Caenorhabditis elegans: one gene and its partners. The protein of the gene in region 4 purifies or fractionates together with the protein of the main gene of each other region. This does not show direct contact. Each region holds a gene or a part of one and is shown on either strand. Other genes may lie near its edges.

What was found.
Region 1: the proteins of ttr-16 (region 4) and lbp-2 fractionate together in Caenorhabditis elegans (co-fractionation; one large-scale study listed by BioGRID). This does not show direct contact.
Region 2: the proteins of ttr-16 (region 4) and C36A4.4 fractionate together in Caenorhabditis elegans (co-fractionation; one large-scale study listed by BioGRID). This does not show direct contact.
Region 3: the proteins of ttr-16 (region 4) and spig-1 fractionate together in Caenorhabditis elegans (co-fractionation; one large-scale study listed by BioGRID). This does not show direct contact.

What each region holds. Positions count from the first base shown.
Region 1 is NC_003284.9:3,258,089-3,262,342, reverse strand, and holds lbp-2 (Fatty acid-binding protein homolog 2), read right to left. Parts: upstream 1,734-4,254; 5' UTR 1,542-1,733; coding exon 1,224-1,541; intron 1,168-1,223; coding exon 1,054-1,167; intron 1,008-1,053; coding exon 954-1,007; 3' UTR 873-953; downstream 1-872. Other genes in the region: lbp-1 (Fatty acid-binding protein homolog 1), read right to left, coding at 2,590-2,643, 2,702-2,815, 2,874-3,185. UniProt on the Caenorhabditis elegans protein: May play a role in sequestering potentially toxic fatty acids and their peroxidation products, or it may be involved in the maintenance of the impermeable lipid layer of the eggshell.
Region 2 is NC_003281.10:3,840,311-3,846,021, forward strand, and holds C36A4.4 (putative UDP-N-acetylglucosamine pyrophosphorylase), read right to left. Parts: upstream 3,305-5,711; 5' UTR 3,301-3,304; coding exon 3,049-3,300; intron 2,995-3,048; coding exon 2,574-2,994; intron 2,071-2,573; coding exon 1,722-2,070; intron 1,672-1,721; coding exon 1,418-1,671; intron 1,361-1,417; coding exon 1,182-1,360; 3' UTR 936-1,181; downstream 1-935. Other genes in the region: C36A4.11 (uncharacterized protein), read left to right, coding at 576-774, 833-840; maph-1.3 (Microtubule-associated protein futsch), read left to right, coding at 4,583-4,804, 4,851-5,711.
Region 3 is NC_003283.11:7,050,196-7,053,584, reverse strand, and holds spig-1 (DUF4473 domain-containing protein), read right to left. Parts: upstream 1,871-3,389; 5' UTR 1,858-1,870; coding exon 1,794-1,857; intron 1,744-1,793; coding exon 1,466-1,743; 3' UTR 1,406-1,465; downstream 1-1,405. Other genes in the region: txt-17 (transcellular chaperone signaling (x)cross tissue), read left to right, coding at 388-460, 513-787; tofu-2 (Schlafen-like protein 2), read left to right, coding at 2,358-2,360, 2,529-2,757, 2,814-3,262, 3,309-3,376.
Region 4 is NC_003282.8:11,062,547-11,066,479, forward strand, and holds ttr-16 (Transthyretin-like protein 16), read right to left. Parts: upstream 1,592-3,933; 5' UTR 1,569-1,591; coding exon 1,421-1,568; intron 1,373-1,420; coding exon 1,239-1,372; intron 1,223-1,238; exon of another isoform or gene 1,193-1,222; coding exon 1,076-1,192; 3' UTR 984-1,075; downstream 1-983. Other genes in the region: Protein lin-3, read left to right, coding at 548-625; ttr-17 (Transthyretin-like family protein), read right to left, coding at 3,535-3,651.

The DNA of each region.
Region 1 (4,254 bases), on a different chromosome or scaffold from region 4:
ATCATATGGAGTCATTCTTTTTTATTTCATAAAACTGTTTAGCATAGTCAAAAATACCAGAATATGCTAATCAAAGTATATTAGCTTGTACGGAAGTTTTTTTTTTTTAATGATAAAAATATATAAAAGCTGGTTTTTTTCAAAAATTCAAAAGTCCTGGAAAGTCATATGGAGTCATTCTTTTTTATTTCAGAAAACTGTTTAGCATAGTCAAAAATACCAAAAAATGCCAATCAAGTATAATAGCTTGTACGAAAGTTTTTTTTAAAATTACATTTTTAGCACATTTTTAGCACATTTTTAGCACATTTCAAGCACATTTCTAGCACATTTTTAGCACATTTCAAGCACATTTTTAGCACATTTTTAGCACATTTTTAGCACATTTTTAGCACATTTTCAGCACATTTTTAGCACATTAATGGCACTTTTTTTTGTATGATAGAACATGTAGAATATAGGTGCTAAGTGATCTTTATCTCTGCATAAATAATTGAAACAAAATTAATGTGTAAAAATAGTAGAAAATTTTTTTGGTCCACTTTCAAAATTATGAGTGGCAATAACGGAGTCACTTTTCAACAGTAAATGAACAATTTTCCAAAATTATTGATATTTGGTCCTTTTGGCACCATAGGCGTAGTTTTTTGCCAATTTCCCACTGGTGCTACTCAACGTTTAGATGAAATCACATAAAGAAAACGACAACTGTAGTTTAAATAATGGTTGTTGCAGAATTTGGCAGCGAGATCATACTCTAGTGTTAAGTTTCTTACCTCAACATGTTCATTTTTTAATCTGTAGAAAATTAAAAACTAATAATTGGGATAATACATTCCACCAAGATTCCAAATTGAAAACATCAGAAGATTGCTTGAAAATAAATTTATTTTTTTCGGAAATGAAATTGAATTGCAAATTTAAGAAAATTTCAATAGAATAAGTTTAAACTTTTATGGGAGTCTCTTGTAGAATCTGCGGCCTTCGATATTGTTGAAGCTCATCTTCTGTAATTAACAAAAATGTATGTCAAATAGATTGACCAAATTTTACCTGAATAAGAAAATCTCCATCAAAGTAATACTCATAGGTTTCTTCCTTGGATTCTCCCTCTTCAAGTGGCTTGTGATGTTCGAACAAGTGTCCGTCCTTGAGAGTGAAGGTAACCTGAAAATTATAATTGAAATAAAAATAAAATAAAAAGTACATGGCATGGAACTCACCTCGTGCTTGGTGTTATCAAGACCCTCTCCTTCGAACTTGCTTCCGATCTGGACGTTTTTGTAGAACACATCTTTTTTCGATGTCAAGTTGGAGTAGTCGAAGAGGTTTTTGTTAGCATTCTTGGCAAAAACCTTCTTGAATGTCGCAAAGGTTACAAGCTTTCGAGTGAACCATCCGTATCCTTTGGCAGTGAGGTACTCATCAAAATTTTCAGAGTGATCCAAGTCGAAGGTTCCATAGAACTTTTCTGGAAGCTGTTCGGCAGCCACAAGGGTAGCTCCACAAAATGCGAGTAAGATGAGGAATTTCGAAGACATTTTTGTTCAAGTCAATGACTGAATGACTGAAGTGTCCACAGAAATGAAGATTGATCAAGACTCCGCCCAGTTGCTCAATCGACAACACAATAAAACTGAGGTCAGCCACGTGTGTAATATAGGGTCACGGCACGGATGGCAACAACAAATTGATGATCGGACTTACTTGATTTTCAAAAATCCTCACAACACCTGGAAGCTAATAATAAACAAAATTTAAGAGACCGAACGAAAACAATTCATCGATTACTTGTTGAAATGCAGAATGAATTTTGTCGAAATAAATTTAAACGCGTTAAGAAAATTGAAAAGAAAACTGCTACGTTTTTTGACTGCACATCAAACAATTTAAGACTTAAAAAAATATTTTTAATGAGGTCCTCAAGATCCAATGATTTTAGTTATTAAACTATGTATTTTGAGAAATGGTTCTTATTTAATGGTACCTTATTCAGAAATTAAATGTGAAAATCAGGAAAAAAAAAATAAAAAAGAGCATACGAAAGAGTAGAAAAAACTCCATTTTATAGAAAACTTTCGAACACAACATCGAAAAAAAAAAACCGAAAAGTGATTGGATTTTGACCCACCCGAAATTTTAAACTGGTTGTGTCCTTTTTGTGTTTTGAATTACGTTTTTGCAAATATCACGGCGCAATCGAACTTTCATGTTTTGATTCCAGCATAGGTTCAATTCATCTGATAATTTGATTCTTAATTTCAAGTCTTCAATGTGCAAAATTTTCTTTTTAACACTTGTGTCACTTTTACACGTTAACAAAAATTCAAATTTTAATCAACTTTGCTTTCTAGAACTCCTAATATGTACATTTTTAAACCAGTGAAAACATTTCCCAAACAAAAAACTTCAGAGGGCTATGCAGCATGAATCACAAAAGAACCGCGTTATTTTTCTTATTTTTTGCCCCATATCACATTACAGAATCGATCTAACTTTTCAGTTTATTTGAAACTTGAAATACATCAGTGGCAAAAAAAGTACATTGAGAAATCAATTCATACAAAAATTACAATAGTTTCTGAATATTTATGGGAGTCGTTTGTAGAATCGGCGTCCCTCAACTCCATTGAAACTCATGCGCTGAAAATTACAATCATGAGAATGTGAAATTGGTTTTTAAAAAATGTTTATAACTTACCACAAGAAGGAATTCCTTATCGAAAAGGTACTCGTAGGTCTCTTCCTTGGCGTCTCCTCCCTCGAGTGGCTTGTGATGCTCAAACAAATGTCCGTCCTTGAGGGTGAAAGTGATCTGAAAATTAATTAATTAATCAATTTGAAAGGTTACTTGAAAACTTGCAAAAGCGTACCTCGTGTTTGGTGCTGTCAAGTCCTTCTCCCTGGAAGGCTTTTCCAAGTTGGACATTCTTGTAATGGACGTCTTTCTTTGATGTCAAGTTGGAGTAGTCAAAGAGGTTCTTGTTGGAAGTCTTAGTGAACACCTTTTTGAATGTGGCAAAAGTGACAAGTTTACGAGTGAACCATCCGTATCCTTTAGCAGTGAGATACTCATCAAAATTTTCGGAATGGTCCAAGTCAAAAGTTCCATAGAACTTATCAGGGAGAACAGCAGCTGAAGCAGCTCCAACAAGAACCAGGAGAAGAGCGATTTTAGCGCACATGGTTGGCTAGGTCGATGAATGAACGACTGACGTCTTGGCAGGACTGTGGGCTGTGTGTCGACGTCGTCTGCGTGGACCCCGCCTACTTGCACAGTCGTAAACAACATTGTACGGCAAGAAGTGCAGCCCACATGTCGATTGCGCTGACGATTAGCAGAGATGGACGGCTGGACTCGGATGGGTATCGAAAGAGAGTGTAGCATAAATGATTCGGGGCAGATTTTTTTTGTTCCGTGTGTTGGGGTCAGTTCGGATATTTTTGAAGAGAGTAGTTGCATGAATCGGGTCCTGGAAGACCGAACAATCAACTCAAAATAATTTCGTTGAAGGTTTAAGGCGAATCGAATTGCAATTTCCTTATTTGGTTGATATAATTTTATGTTATCATTATCTTTCATAGTCTATAGTATGATTCTCCATTTCTTCAGCAAACATTGAATACGGCAACAGGTCTTCAGGTCTGCAGTTCAAAACACAATCCATGCAGGGCTGGGACTTTGGAAAACCAAAAAAAACTACCGGAAAAAATTATGAAAATTTTTATTCATATAGAATTCGACCCACAGAAAAAGAAAACGACTTCAGAAAAAAAGTTTTTTTGCCGCAGAATTTCGGTACATTCGGTTTTGGGTTTTTTTGGTTTCAAAATGAAAACGAAAAAATATTGTAAGGATCCCATAAAACACAATTTTTCAAAAATATTTTTAAACTTTCAACACTAGCTAAAATTTTTAAGACACAAAATTGTTTTTTTTTCTGGTTTTCAAATGTTTGAGCCCTATTCCCAGATGACAGAATTCATATTAGAGATCATTGTTTTCCAGATGGCCTTTCCCGTAAATTGGCCAATACGATTCTCACGTTTTATTGGGCTACAATAGACCCATCTACTTTGTACCTTGGCTAATCTGTTCTATGTCCACTTTCGATGTTTGACCTCCATCTGTTCATTCGTTTTTTTTTGTGAGATCATGCAATTTTTGAAAATGGCAGAGCAAGTCTAAAGGGACAATTGTTTATTTAAAAGGACAGAAAAAATAAACATCTGTGATTAATAATGTGAAGAGCT
Region 2 (5,711 bases), on a different chromosome or scaffold from region 4:
ATTTCAAGTTTTCGTTTCTGGGCAATTTTCATCGATTTTGCAAGGTTGTTTAAAGGGTTATTGGAATGTTTTAATTTAAATAAATATACTTTTATCGGAAAAGTATTAAAAGACGATGAACATCCAGCAAAAACAAAAGTTTGATAGTACAGTACTCCTTAAAGGCGCACATCTTTTAGCATTTAACAAATGATTGTCGCGTCGAAACCGGGTACCGTATTTTTAGCTGCAAAAATTTAAAAACGCTCAGAATCTCGTTCAAATGTTCTTTCAAACAATGTAACAATGTGACCAATACTTTTTTGTTTATATAAAACAGTCTGTGTCTCTAATCTCTAGTTTAACACTGTCCTCCGTACCCCACAATTATTCATTCATACTTTTCATCGAGCTTTTGTGTACAGGCTCTCTCACTTTGATTTTATTAATTATTTATATTTAATTACTACTGAATAGTTTTTGAATATTCTTCTTCTATTCGAATCAGGAAACTTTTGGAAACCGGTGCTAAGTCCCTTTGATGCTCCCGAGTGGACTTTGAAGGAGAAATTCGAGATATTAGAGCGTGAGCTTAAATGGGAACAAAGGCGAAGAACGACAGAGAAGCCATCATCCAAAGTGGTTTCGGTGGATCTACAGAGTCTGGAGAATGTTCGGATAGCAGCTTCTACTGCGACATCTTCGACAGCCACGGTGGCTCAGATGCACAAGAAGAGGAAGATTGCCTTCGAATTGGATCCGGTGCTAACAAGTCCCGCGTGGCAGGCCTATTAGGTAAGTTTTTTTTTTTTAATTTTTGTTATTTGCTTGTTTAAATTATTGCTCTTTTCAGGAAATTAATGACTAAATACATCCTCCCAACAGAAGGCACATTTCCAAGGATAACTTTTTTTTTTAATAAATTGTCATTTTTAAATTTATAAAATTGTACCAACTCATTCTAACATTTTTAGTATTTACAAAATCTGTATTCGAACTCGTTTCAGTTTACGAAAATTTAAGAAATTTAAAACAAATGGATGTCAAGCAATAATATCGGCCTAATAACTACGGTTTTTGGGGAAAATACCGAAGGAAATTTGAAAGCATCACGGGGATTTTAACATAAATAAAACACAGTTGGCTGGGAAATGATAGGGGAATGAGTAGGGCAATCAGTATAAATATGAAACAAAAGAAGACTAGACAACAAAGAATTTGTTAATCGAATGATCGGATTCCAAGGCACTATCAGAAATTTCACGATGACGGAGTTCTTGAAGATTCTCTCCGTTGTAGGAGACAATTGTCTTCAAGTAGATCGGCTTTTCAGTTGCAGTCACTTTCGCTTGAACACGTTCCAGCCACAACTTGTTCACATCTGAAAATCAGTTTTTAAATCAATTTTAATTCTGAATTCACAGAAAAATCTACTCACTGGACAAATCTCTCTGACAAGTGCTCAAACAATCAGTTCCAACAGATTGAGCATTTTTCAATGGAGAAAACTCTTCGTTCCTCGCCACCTCCCAAATGAAAAATCGCTTCGAGAGCTCGAAGACGTCGAAAATAAACTGCTCCAGCTTGATACCATTTGGTTTTTCCGGTTTGACAATGGTTCCCTGCTCATTCACATAGGAAATCTTCTTGTGAGCACGATGATATGGAAGACGAGATGATGGAGAGCAGACTCTGTATTTATTTTAAAATTAAGCTTTTTCTCCAAATTTGAAATTACAAACCTATCCATGAAATCCATCGTGAAAAAGTGATTTGCAATAGATCCTGCACCAAACAAATATTTTCCATCCGGTGTCTTTTGTTCAGCCAACTCGGCTCCAAGCTCCGAATATTCAACGACACGTGGTAGTCCTCTATCAAGACAAACTGATCCGACGAGTTCTCCTTTTTGCTTCGGAACACACTTGGTTGCAACGTCAGCTTCGTTTGAAATGGCGAATCCGATGAAATGAGGGTCGGCAACTTTGCACAGAATGTTGTCCACACAATACACATGGAAATATTTGATTCCTTTCGCGCGAAGACGTGGCAAATGAGCAGAGATGGCAGAGTAGAGACCTCCGTTGCCGTCTGAAAAAAAATATGATTTTTCGGTTTTTTGTGAGAAAATCGATAATTTTCTTTTTTTGAAATCCAGAAAAAAGTCTAGATTTTATGTTCTAAAAAAAGTTGAGTTTGATGAGAACACATTATCTTTAAAATATTGAAAATTCGATTTTTTTTTCGTTGAAAAACTCATTTTTTAAAATTTTTGTGTCGATTTACGCAGCTGGTGTACTCCCCGAGAAAGAATAATTATTTTTTTGTACGAAATTTTTAAGTATTCGGATAAAATACTTAATTTTAGATATTTTTTAAATTCAAATCGTCAACTAATTTATATTTTTAGTGTGTTTTGGGTGAAAATCCATGCAATTAATACTGCTTTCAATATTGACACCGAAAATACTTTAAATGTCATATAATTTTTCGTTTTGAAGATTAAAAAATAATCAAAAAGTCAGAATTATAGCTGAAAAATTCGTAAAAACAGTTTTCCTCGAGGAGTACACGAATTGCGTAAAAACTCATACTTGGAGCAGCAACAACAGATCCTTTAGTTCCGAGAAGGAAGTTTCCCTGCTCATCGTATGCAGCAATTTCATCTTGTGAGAAAATAGTAATTTGTTCATCGAAATCGAATCCATGATGAGCCGCCAGTTTCTTCACATGCTCACGAGTAGCCTCCTCTGTTCCAGGTGACGTCATAACTGCCCAGTGAATTTTTCCCGGATTCTGATGCTCCCGTTCTCCAGCGAGAGCCTGAAGAAGTGCAATTTTGGCAGCTTGAATTCCCAAAAGAGAATCTCCAAATGAAGCGTTAATTCCCAATGGAATCGTTCCTTTCGGTTGACTTGATCCAAGACGTGTAGCTTGTCCACCGGCGAGCACAATTGCACATACTTCTCCACGTCCAATAGCATCCATTCCCTTGTTCCAGAGACCATCGAGGATCTGAAAATAATGTAATTTTAATGATGGTTTTACCTAAATATTAAAAGTCTCTACCACTTGATGCAATTCAGCTTGTACAAAATGCTGAGAATCAAGAACCGGCTTAAGGTCTTCCGCAGTTGATGGAGCCCGTTGATCCGCTGAATCAATGAACCATTGATGAGCTTCCGAAAGGTTTAGAGTTGAAATTTGGTGGAAAAGCTTCGATTTTTCGGCATCCGAGAGCTCATTGTAAAAGTTGAGAAGTGGCTCAGAGCCCGGAAACTTTGAGATAATCTCGTCTTTTGGTGGAGCAGTGATGGTCATCGTACTGAAAATAATGATCAAAATTAAATAAACGATTCTCCGGTGGAAAACAATTCAAAAAGTGATAATACACGGCGCAAAGATAAGAAAATAATTATTCATAACGCTGTGTGTGGCAGCTTCTCTCTAATTACAGAAATGTTCATTTGGAAAATAGATAGACACAAAAAACTGCACTTATTTAACACGTTTCCTACTTTAAAACTCTAAAAACAAGGAGATGGAAAACAAGAAACACGACAAAATATTGATTGTTGGCTTAACGTTTTTAGAATGCAATAAAAACAGAGAATCTCTTGTTTCGCCGAAGAAAATGCGGAGAAATCCAATCTAAATGGAAAAAAAAAGTTTTTATTAAGAAAAATTCACTGAAAATGAAAAAAAATCTGCAAATTCTTCAAGAAAATGATGAAAAGATCACAAAACATATAAAAAAACATCTGAACATGGCGCCGCTGCCGCCATAAAAACTTAAAAGTACGCGAACACAGTGACGGAAAAATGCACAGAGTTCAATTCTCCCAATATATATATACCAGTGGATTTAAAAAGATTTTGAGTTTTTCGAGCACCGCAAGACTCAAACTTAATCTAAAAAATAACCAAAAAGACTAGCTTCCAATAGAAATGACGTATTGATTCAGCGACATTGAAAAAGTTGAAAATGAAAAAAATCCACCCATCGCAGGCGCTCTGCACTTCTACTGGTAGATCAAACAAAGAGGAGACTGATATCACTAGTGATCTTGATCCACGGCGGCAGCGGTCGTATTCTGATTTCCCTGCATTCTCTGCGTCTCTCACCGCGCTATATAAGGCGGCGAGAGAGCTCATTCGTGTTTTTCTGTCTCGTTTTTGTTTATTTGTTTATTTGTTTATTCTCGCGCGTTTTTCTTTAAAAAAGGTATTTAAAAAGATCACTGAAAAAACGTGCGAGGCTTGCGAAATGAGCGTGCGGTGGTTGCGAATTGGCACCGCCCACTGAAACCTTTTTTTTGTAAATCCTAAAAAATCTGCAATTTTGTCAGCAGCCAAGAAGCTTTTGCATTTTCCCTATAATTTTGTCGTTTATTTCACATTTTTGATTAGTTTTTGAACATTTTTAGTCGCTAATATGGTTGAAAAATGAACTTAAGTCTACAGAAAAGCGCGAAAAACTCCGAAATTAGGGTTTTTGTAATTATTTTGGCATAAAATTCGCCATAATTCAATCTTTCAGCGTTCTCTTTCATTTTCTACGTATACGTGCTTAAAACTGTTGAAAATTACTCCTTCTTTCCAGATGCCGGAAGAATACATCATGTCGTCGAAGGCATGCGTCTACGTCTTGGGCGGTGCGGCCAACACAGCCACCTTGTTTGATTTTGACGGCGTCTACATTCTCGATGGGGGATTCGCCGAAAAAAGCCCAGGATTCGTGGCTCACGTCAGGGACGTCTCTGCCGTGCTGCTCGCCGCGCCGACGCTTGGTAACCTCGGAACCACGTCTGCTCTGTTGGAACAGGTTTGTAGAAACTTTAATGAAAATTTTGATAATCTACTTTTTTCAGGGAAAACCGTTGCCGGTGTTCACCAACACGAAGCCGTTCAAGACTGCCAAGCCGGGAAGCAGTGGAGAGATTGCCAAAGCAATTCAAGAAGCGAACTCGAAGCTTCTCTCCGTTGCACCGCCACTGTTCAGCCCGAAATATCCGGCACACATCATATACCAGTCAGCTGCAAAAGGAGTTCTCTCCATGTATATTCTGGCTGGAGACGTCAAAGACTCCGAAGTGATCACAAAGGCGTTGGCAGGAGGAAACGAGGCAGAAGTGGAGAAGGCGGCCGCTGAGAATGGAACCATCGCCGTCCTGCTCTGGAGGCCTGCGATGACGGATCAATCGGCGGTCAGAGTGCTTATTTCGGGGACGAGCTCACTTGCGAGGATCCAACAATCGCTCGACAAGGCAGCGAAATCACTTCCATTCCTCAACGCGCCCACCGTGAAGTCGAAGGATGCGTTGTTGGATATTCCTGCTCCTGCCGTTCCACGACCTGTTGCCGGAAAACCATCTACTAGATCTGCATCTACAACCGGCGCCGCAAGAACTCGTCCAGCAATCCCTGCAGTCAGTGCCCCCAGAGCGTTGACTTCTCGTGCTCCAACAGGCCCAGCTTGTCCGACGACTACACGAAGTGCAGCTCCTGCTACCAGAACAGCCGTTCCACCGAGAGCAACTGCACCACCGAAGGCCGCTTCAGCATCGAAGGCTCCGATTAGAGCTCCAATTCCAGCGAAATCTGCACCAGCGCCACCAAGAGGAGCCCCTGCGAAGGCAGCCAAGGCCGAGGCTATCGCTCAGAAGAAAGTCGCTGGGAAAGTTCAAAGAGCCGCTCCATCGAAGCCTGCTTCGGCGGTCTCAGCTCCAAAA
Region 3 (3,389 bases), on a different chromosome or scaffold from region 4:
ATTATTAAAATTTTCATGTTGATTGAATACTATAAAACGTCATTCTCGTGATTCACACTTTCCGAAAACACTTCGAGATAAACGTTGTGCCATAACCCGATAGACATCAAAATATCTAACCGTTTTCCCTGTTTTCGAACTATTCCCCTCTAGATAATTGCCGTAGAGAACCACAGGCACGGATATTTTTTCAATTCGAAAGCGTAACAAATTACAAACCAGTTATGTGTCTCCGCCTAGAACCGATCTCAATTTGGATGTATAAAAACCGTGCTGATAGCTCTGAAAATAACATCATCATTTTTTAAGTTTGGTTTCATATGTTCTTTTCGCAAGCATCTTCTTTCTGTATCTCATCAAAATAAAAAATTAATATTTGTTCAGAAAATGTGCAAACTCTTCGTCGCCGTTGCACTTCTCGCTGTTGCCATCTATGCTGCTCCACCAGTACCACCAAGTGGTAGGAAATTTTTATATTTTGAACTTTGAAAAACTCTGAATCTGATTTTCAGCCGAGGAGGTGAAAGCTCAACTTGTCGCCGCTGGGCTCTCGGAGACTTCTGCCGCAGGAATCGTCGAGGTTGCCGAGAAGTACAAGACTCAACTCGAAGCTCTCAAGGATAACAAGGACGATAAGGAAGCAATAAAGAAGGTTTTCGAGGAGATCAAGACTGACACGGATGCCTACATCAAGACTCAACCAGAAGCTGATCAGAAAGCTTATGCCACCTATATCGAGTCTAAGAAGAAGGAATTCGAGGGACACCACTCTACTCCAGCTCACTAAATATTTTCTGATGTTGTTGCTCGAAATGCACATATATACATTTTCCCTTGACTTTTTGTATTGAATGAATCGAATTTTCTGTTTGAAATGTTGACAAGTCTCTTGTAAAAATTAGAACCTGCCATAAGAAAAGCATGCCTACCTACATGCCTAAAAGACAAACCCTGATCGCCGCGAAGGAGAAGTACATTTTGACAAACCGTGAAAAAACGTTTATTCGGGCCGGAGCATAACACGGTAATGATACATCTATTTCAAGTCCAGTTATTATTGACCTGAAGGTAACTTGTAGACCTGTTGGTGCCTGCAATGACGCCCACCCTGTGTTAATAAATACCAGGTTGAAACTTGATATTATTTTCGCTTCTGTAACTATTATTCCAGCTATTTATCGTTTTAAGTCTGAGCTATTAGCAAAATTAGGAACATGGAATAGCTTAGTATCATTATTATTACTATTATTATTATTTAATACGTTTACATAGATAGATAGAGTAAGTAGGTAGGTAGATAGGTAGGTAGGTAGGTTTTTAAAACAAGGGAAAAAGATTGGGTTGTTCTCGATATTTCACCCGTTACTGTAGTCTTATGTCTGGATGAAGCACATATGGAATGATTCGCGAAATTAAAGTTTTATTTTCAAATAAAAAATGGTTCCATATTCAAAAAAATTGATATTTAAGCACTTTCGGCAGCAGCAGCTTCCTTGTGAGCTTGGAAGTGCTCCTTGGCCTTCTCAACGAATGCTTTGTAAGCGGTCTGATCAGCTTCAGATTGGGTGGCGATGTAGGCATCAGACTCGGACTTCATGCTATCGAAAACTTTCTTTCCAGCTTCATGATCTCCCTTGGTGAGAGCCTGGAATTGGCTCTTGTACTTATCTCCGATTTCAACGAGTCCAGCGGCAGCAGCCTCGGAGACTCCACCCTCAACGAGCTTGGCCTTCATCTCATCAGCTTAAAATTATAAGGGTTTTAAGAAGAACGTTGAAATGAAAAACTTCTACCTGATGGCATTTGATGAGCATAAACGACAGCGAGAAGGGCAACGGCGACGAAAAGTTTGCACATTTTGAAAGTTGGAAGTGAATTGAATTGAAATTACTACAACCTGTCGACTATTTATACGAATCGAATTGTGACGACACGTAGTGGTGATTAGTGGCAAGGCACATTTGACACAAAAACGATTGGTTCTAAAATCCGGTTTGAATATTGAATTGGACTACACACACTCTCACTACAACATGGTTTTTTCAGTTTATGATTTGTTGCCCAACAGTTCAATTCATAGACATTCGCATCAATTGCGGAGGATCAAACGATTTCAGTTTCGAACTTTTCAAAAAATGTGTAACTGAACTTTCTGTTAAATCTGATGTTTTAATATTTTTTGTGGTATGAAAATAATTTTTTCATCAAAAAATTTATTTGAAATTCCCTCCATTTTCTATCGGCTAAACAACACGCGCCGCGTAACGATGGAGCATCGTTGTGCATTTTTCGCGAGATAATTTTTTTTTAATTTTCGTAATTAAAATTTCAACTCTTCCGTGCCTGGTCATTGAAAAATGGTAAGTTTTAAATATTTTTAGAATCAGAAAATAAATTTATAGTTTTTTAAAAGTTTCTCTTCTAATATTCCGCTAATTTTAGCATTTTTAAATCTCACTATTAGTTAAAATAAATATATTCAACAAAAAATTCCGGTGTGCTGTTTAATGCTACATATTATTTTTCAGGCCGACACAAGTCCACGTGAATCCAAACTGAACAAGCAGGATCAAGATCTTCATCTCGAAATTGATGAAACTGGATTAGCCTGCAAAAGTGAAGTGAAGAAAAGATGGCTCGGAGCACGTGGAACAGCCGGATTATATGGAAATGGAAAGTATTACTATGAAGTTACAATTACAAGTAAAGGACTGTGCAGAGTTGGCTGGGCTACTCTCGGTGGAAGTTTGAATATTGGTAATACTTTTTTGCATTGTGCAAAATTATTCTTTATTCCAATTAAAATGTTCCAGGTAAAGGACTGGATAGTTTCGGTTATGGTGGGACTGGAATGAAGTCAACCCACAAAAAGTTCGATGATTATGGTCTCCCATTCACTCTGAACGATGTGATCGGTTGCTATCTTGACCTGGATTCCCGTACCATCTGGTGGTCAAAAAATGGAGAACAATTTCCCGCCGCTTTTTCCATCGATGTGAAATACAAAAACTCGAACACGTGTCTCTTCCCGGCGGTCTTATGTCAAAACTCAAGCCTCTCAGTCAACTTTGGATCTCAACCGTTCAAATTTCCCCCGGGAAATCAGTTTACTGCGGTTTCCGATGCTCCAAATGAAAATGTGAATTGGTGGAGCTATGAGGAGCAAAACTCATTCGAACATGTAGTGGTGAAACTACCGTTTGCAGTAGAAGAAGATGTTCATAATGAGTTCAGAATGCATACCAAACTGATGCTCACTGAAGTAATTTAAAGTGGAAAATAAAGGTTTTTGAATTTTCAATTTACAGCTAAAGAGGACTCAATGCAAGCAGGACAAGGATGGATCTATTCGAAGAACTCTTCAGCCGATCAGCAAGTATGGGTGTTTC
Region 4 (3,933 bases):
CGAAAGAAATTCGTTGAAATTACTAGTTTGGCAAAAATATCGATAATTTAACTTAAATTAATATTTTTTGCGCGGAGAATTGTCTGAAAAATTGAGAAACAGTAATTCAAATCAAATATTGAAAAAAAAAATTGAGAAAAACCAACGAATTTATTCATAAAAGTGAAAATGTCGAATCCAGGTTAGTCGCAAATTCAAAAATAATTATCCCTCAAATGTTTTTTCATTACTTTTTTAGCAGTTATATCTGTTTATTACGGTCCTTTTTCATTTAGATCACATTTTTAAAAATGACTGTACTCCGCCTTTAACTGCAAGCGGAATTGCGCCTTTAAAGATTACTGTCTTTTGCAACCCCTCGTTGCTACGAAATTTTCATTGATTATAATACAATACATTTTTCGGGTTACATCCATTTGTTTATTTTTTGGAAAATGATTACAGTAATCTTAAAAGACGCAGTTCAACCTGGTATCGTATTATTTGTGCAAAAATCGCAAAATCTAACCTCTGAATAATAAAATGATTACTCATTTGAAAGTTTCAGAATTTTCGATCCCCGTCTCGAAGTTCTGGAGAACAAGGATCACCAGCAACATGTGAACCAATGATTCGACACACATGAAATTATAATTTGTTTCCTTATTTTGTCTTATCTTTTTCTTTTTTCATCAACTTCTCTGTGCTATAATTGTGATTTACCACTGCTCAAACATCTCTGGTCTCTTCAAATTTTTTCGCTTTCTCTTTTTTCCTCTATTTTCATATCGTTCTACATGTTTTATAGATTGCATTTGGCACCCTATTATATCCCACCCAAATGTTCTATAGTTCTCTCACTCTCCCTCTCAGTTCCTGTGACAATTTGTATAATTTTGCCAGTTCAACTCCTCGATTTCCAACGGGTACAATATTTGCATCGTTTTTGTAATTTCCTTTGATCCCTAGTCTCTTCAGGTCCTCGTTGAAAAAACTAAACATTTATTTCATGTTTTTATTAATGGAAAATTGAGAAAAATCATATAGAAAAAATATATATTTAGATAGTCAATAAAATCCAGGAAGTTTGCACTTTTTACTGGCATTTTTCCTTCTCTCCGTGAACCTTGATGTCGAGGGTGACGTAGGTCATGTCGTAGGTTCCTCCGATCTTGTCCTCTGGCACCAAGTACCTTCCGATGCGGACACAGTTCTGGAATTATTTTAATAAATATATTCCATTATTTATTTTGACTTACTGGCTTAGATGGGTTGCAGCTATGGGTAATCAAAAGGTATGGGGCAATAGCATGAGTCTCATCTTCTTCTCCGTAAACGCTGAATTCTCCTTCAGCATCAGTTTTCTTGGTGTCCAAAAGATCATCTGGGTCAACTGAAAAATACAAATACATTTATAGAAAAGTTCTATCAATGAACTTACGGGTGTCCTTCTCATAGAGTTGAACTTCAACATTTGCCAATCTCTTCTTATTGCACACGGCAACTCCCTTAACAGTAACATTCTGAAGACGGGCTGTGCATTCAAGAGCACAAGCGGCGAGCAAGAGACACACGACGAGCGAGCGCATTTTCAACAATAAGTTGTTGAGGTGACTGGCGTCGTGTTGGGGCTCACTATTTATATTGAGATTTGGAGATTAACGTCAGGTGTTGTCCCCCCTTCAATCAACCAATAGAATCAAAGAAACGAGAGCCAATTGGCGTGTCCAACAGCCAGCCATGAGACAACATGAGAACTTGAATCAGAAACAACAACAAGTAATCAGGGATTAGATAATGGGTTGGCAAGCTTGAAAAACAAAATCAAGATTTCAAAATATAATTATGACTCATTTTTTATACGGGGGAGGAATTGGATTCAGAATATCTTGTGCACATACGGAAGTTTTCTTTTCTGATAATCAGATCCACATAGGAGTTCCATGGGAGAAGGGTGTGGTATCAGGGTTTTCTGCATTTTGGCAGAAAGCGCGAGTTGAGGCGTGAGGGAGGCCCGTCGCCTTAATGTCAGGCATGCGTTTGGCGCCTACATGTTAACCCTAATTTTTTTTCTAATTTTATCTAAAATCATATTTATCGGAGGCGTTTTCCGGGCTATAGGAGGGGAGGCGTGCGTCTGCGAAATACCTTATCGAAAATCGGTACAGTTTCAGCTGTCATATTACAGGCTCACGCTGTACCTTTTATATTACGTTTCCGTTTGATTCACAATATTTATTATTGACAATACATTCAGATTGGATTGATTTCTATATTTCAACTGGAATTTTTTTTCGTTTTCAGGCTAATAGTTTTTGTGATGTTACGTGGGATGTAGTGATATCCGCTTCCAGTCTTTCAAACAAACAAACAAAGCTGTAATGATCATTTTGTACACTTGATTATTGATATGTTTACAAGATTAGATGCATGCAAAACAATTTTCAAAAACATAATCGATATTGAAATCAATGTTCACAAAGAGCAATTTGAGTTTCTGATAATCCTTCGAACACTAAAGTTTGAGATCAGTCTCTGATGTTATTGCCAGTTGGTGATTGATCCCTCTAATTGAATCTCAGAATTTTATGTTTGAAATGTGAATGCGTCAGACAATATATAAAATTTTAAACATCACAACAAAAACTGGAGGGTTTCTTCGTTTAGCACTGTTTCATGATTTCATAGTTTCGAAGTTCTAATTCAGCTTTCTGAACATTAAAATGAGGTTTTAAATTATATATAAATTCATAAACAGTTCAAACTTATTTTTAATGAATTTTGTTTTATTTCTCGAGGGGTTCAATTAAGTACTGACCTATGTTTTTTAATATAGTATTTTTTCCACTTTCTACTGCAATGCCCAGATTTCCCGGACTTCGAGTAACAAAGAACGATGATTCACAAAAATTGAAACATCAACGAAAAACAAGTCAGATATCCAGAAGAACATATACACGATCGTGTTACAGCTTGGTGTGCAGCCAGCACTATATCATTTTCTAACTGTATAGGTTTACCTTTTATAAGTTGAGCATTTTTTATTCCAATGCTGAAAGAACAACAATTTTAAAATGTCAGATCTGCGTAACTAGAATCTTCAGAAAAACTTGAAATCTGGAAAGCTGCGGTAGTTGCCGATGTCACACAAAACGATTCTGGAAATTTTTAACTTTTATTATATATATTTATTTTCTGAATTTACTCTTTCTGTGGAAGGTATCAAAATAGACCAAATTTAAAAGTTATACTTCTTTTCGACAAGAAAATTATTTTTTTGTCCTCGTTCTATTTGTCACTCTTCAATTGTTTCTTTCTTTTGACTTCTTACGTAACCTTCTCTCGACGTATTTTTCAACCTTCCTGAACATATTTTTTCCACTCCACTCCACTGCCCAATCATTCCGGAATCCCGAAGTTTCTCTTTCGTCAGTTGGCAGGGGGTTGTACTCCGAATCAATTAAAAACAAAAACCAGAAATAGTTCAAAACGTTTTAGGGTAAAATACGAATTTATGTACATACAATTATATGAGTTGAAACAAAAAAATCATAATTAGTTGCAGATGGTCTTCTCTCCATGAACAATAATATCAAGGGTAACATAAGTCATGTCATAGACCTCTCCGATTTTTTCTTGTGGAATTTGATATTCGGAAACGCGTTCACATCCCTGGAAACATAACATTTTTTAAATTTCTTCAATTAAGTTTTTCAAATTTATATTCGAAGTAGCTATTGCTAAGTAGGTGTGCATGTTTACGTGCCTAAATACCTACCGCCTATATTTTGCATTTCAAACCACGCTCAGTATTTGCACTGTGTAGATTTGCGTATTTCTGATTTGCAATAAATTTACCAAAAGTTTCAATTTATCATCAGGAGAGCGTAAATTGGCTTTCAGTCAGGAAGAGATATTTGCCTACTTGGGAGGGTTATTTAAGTGTCATATTGT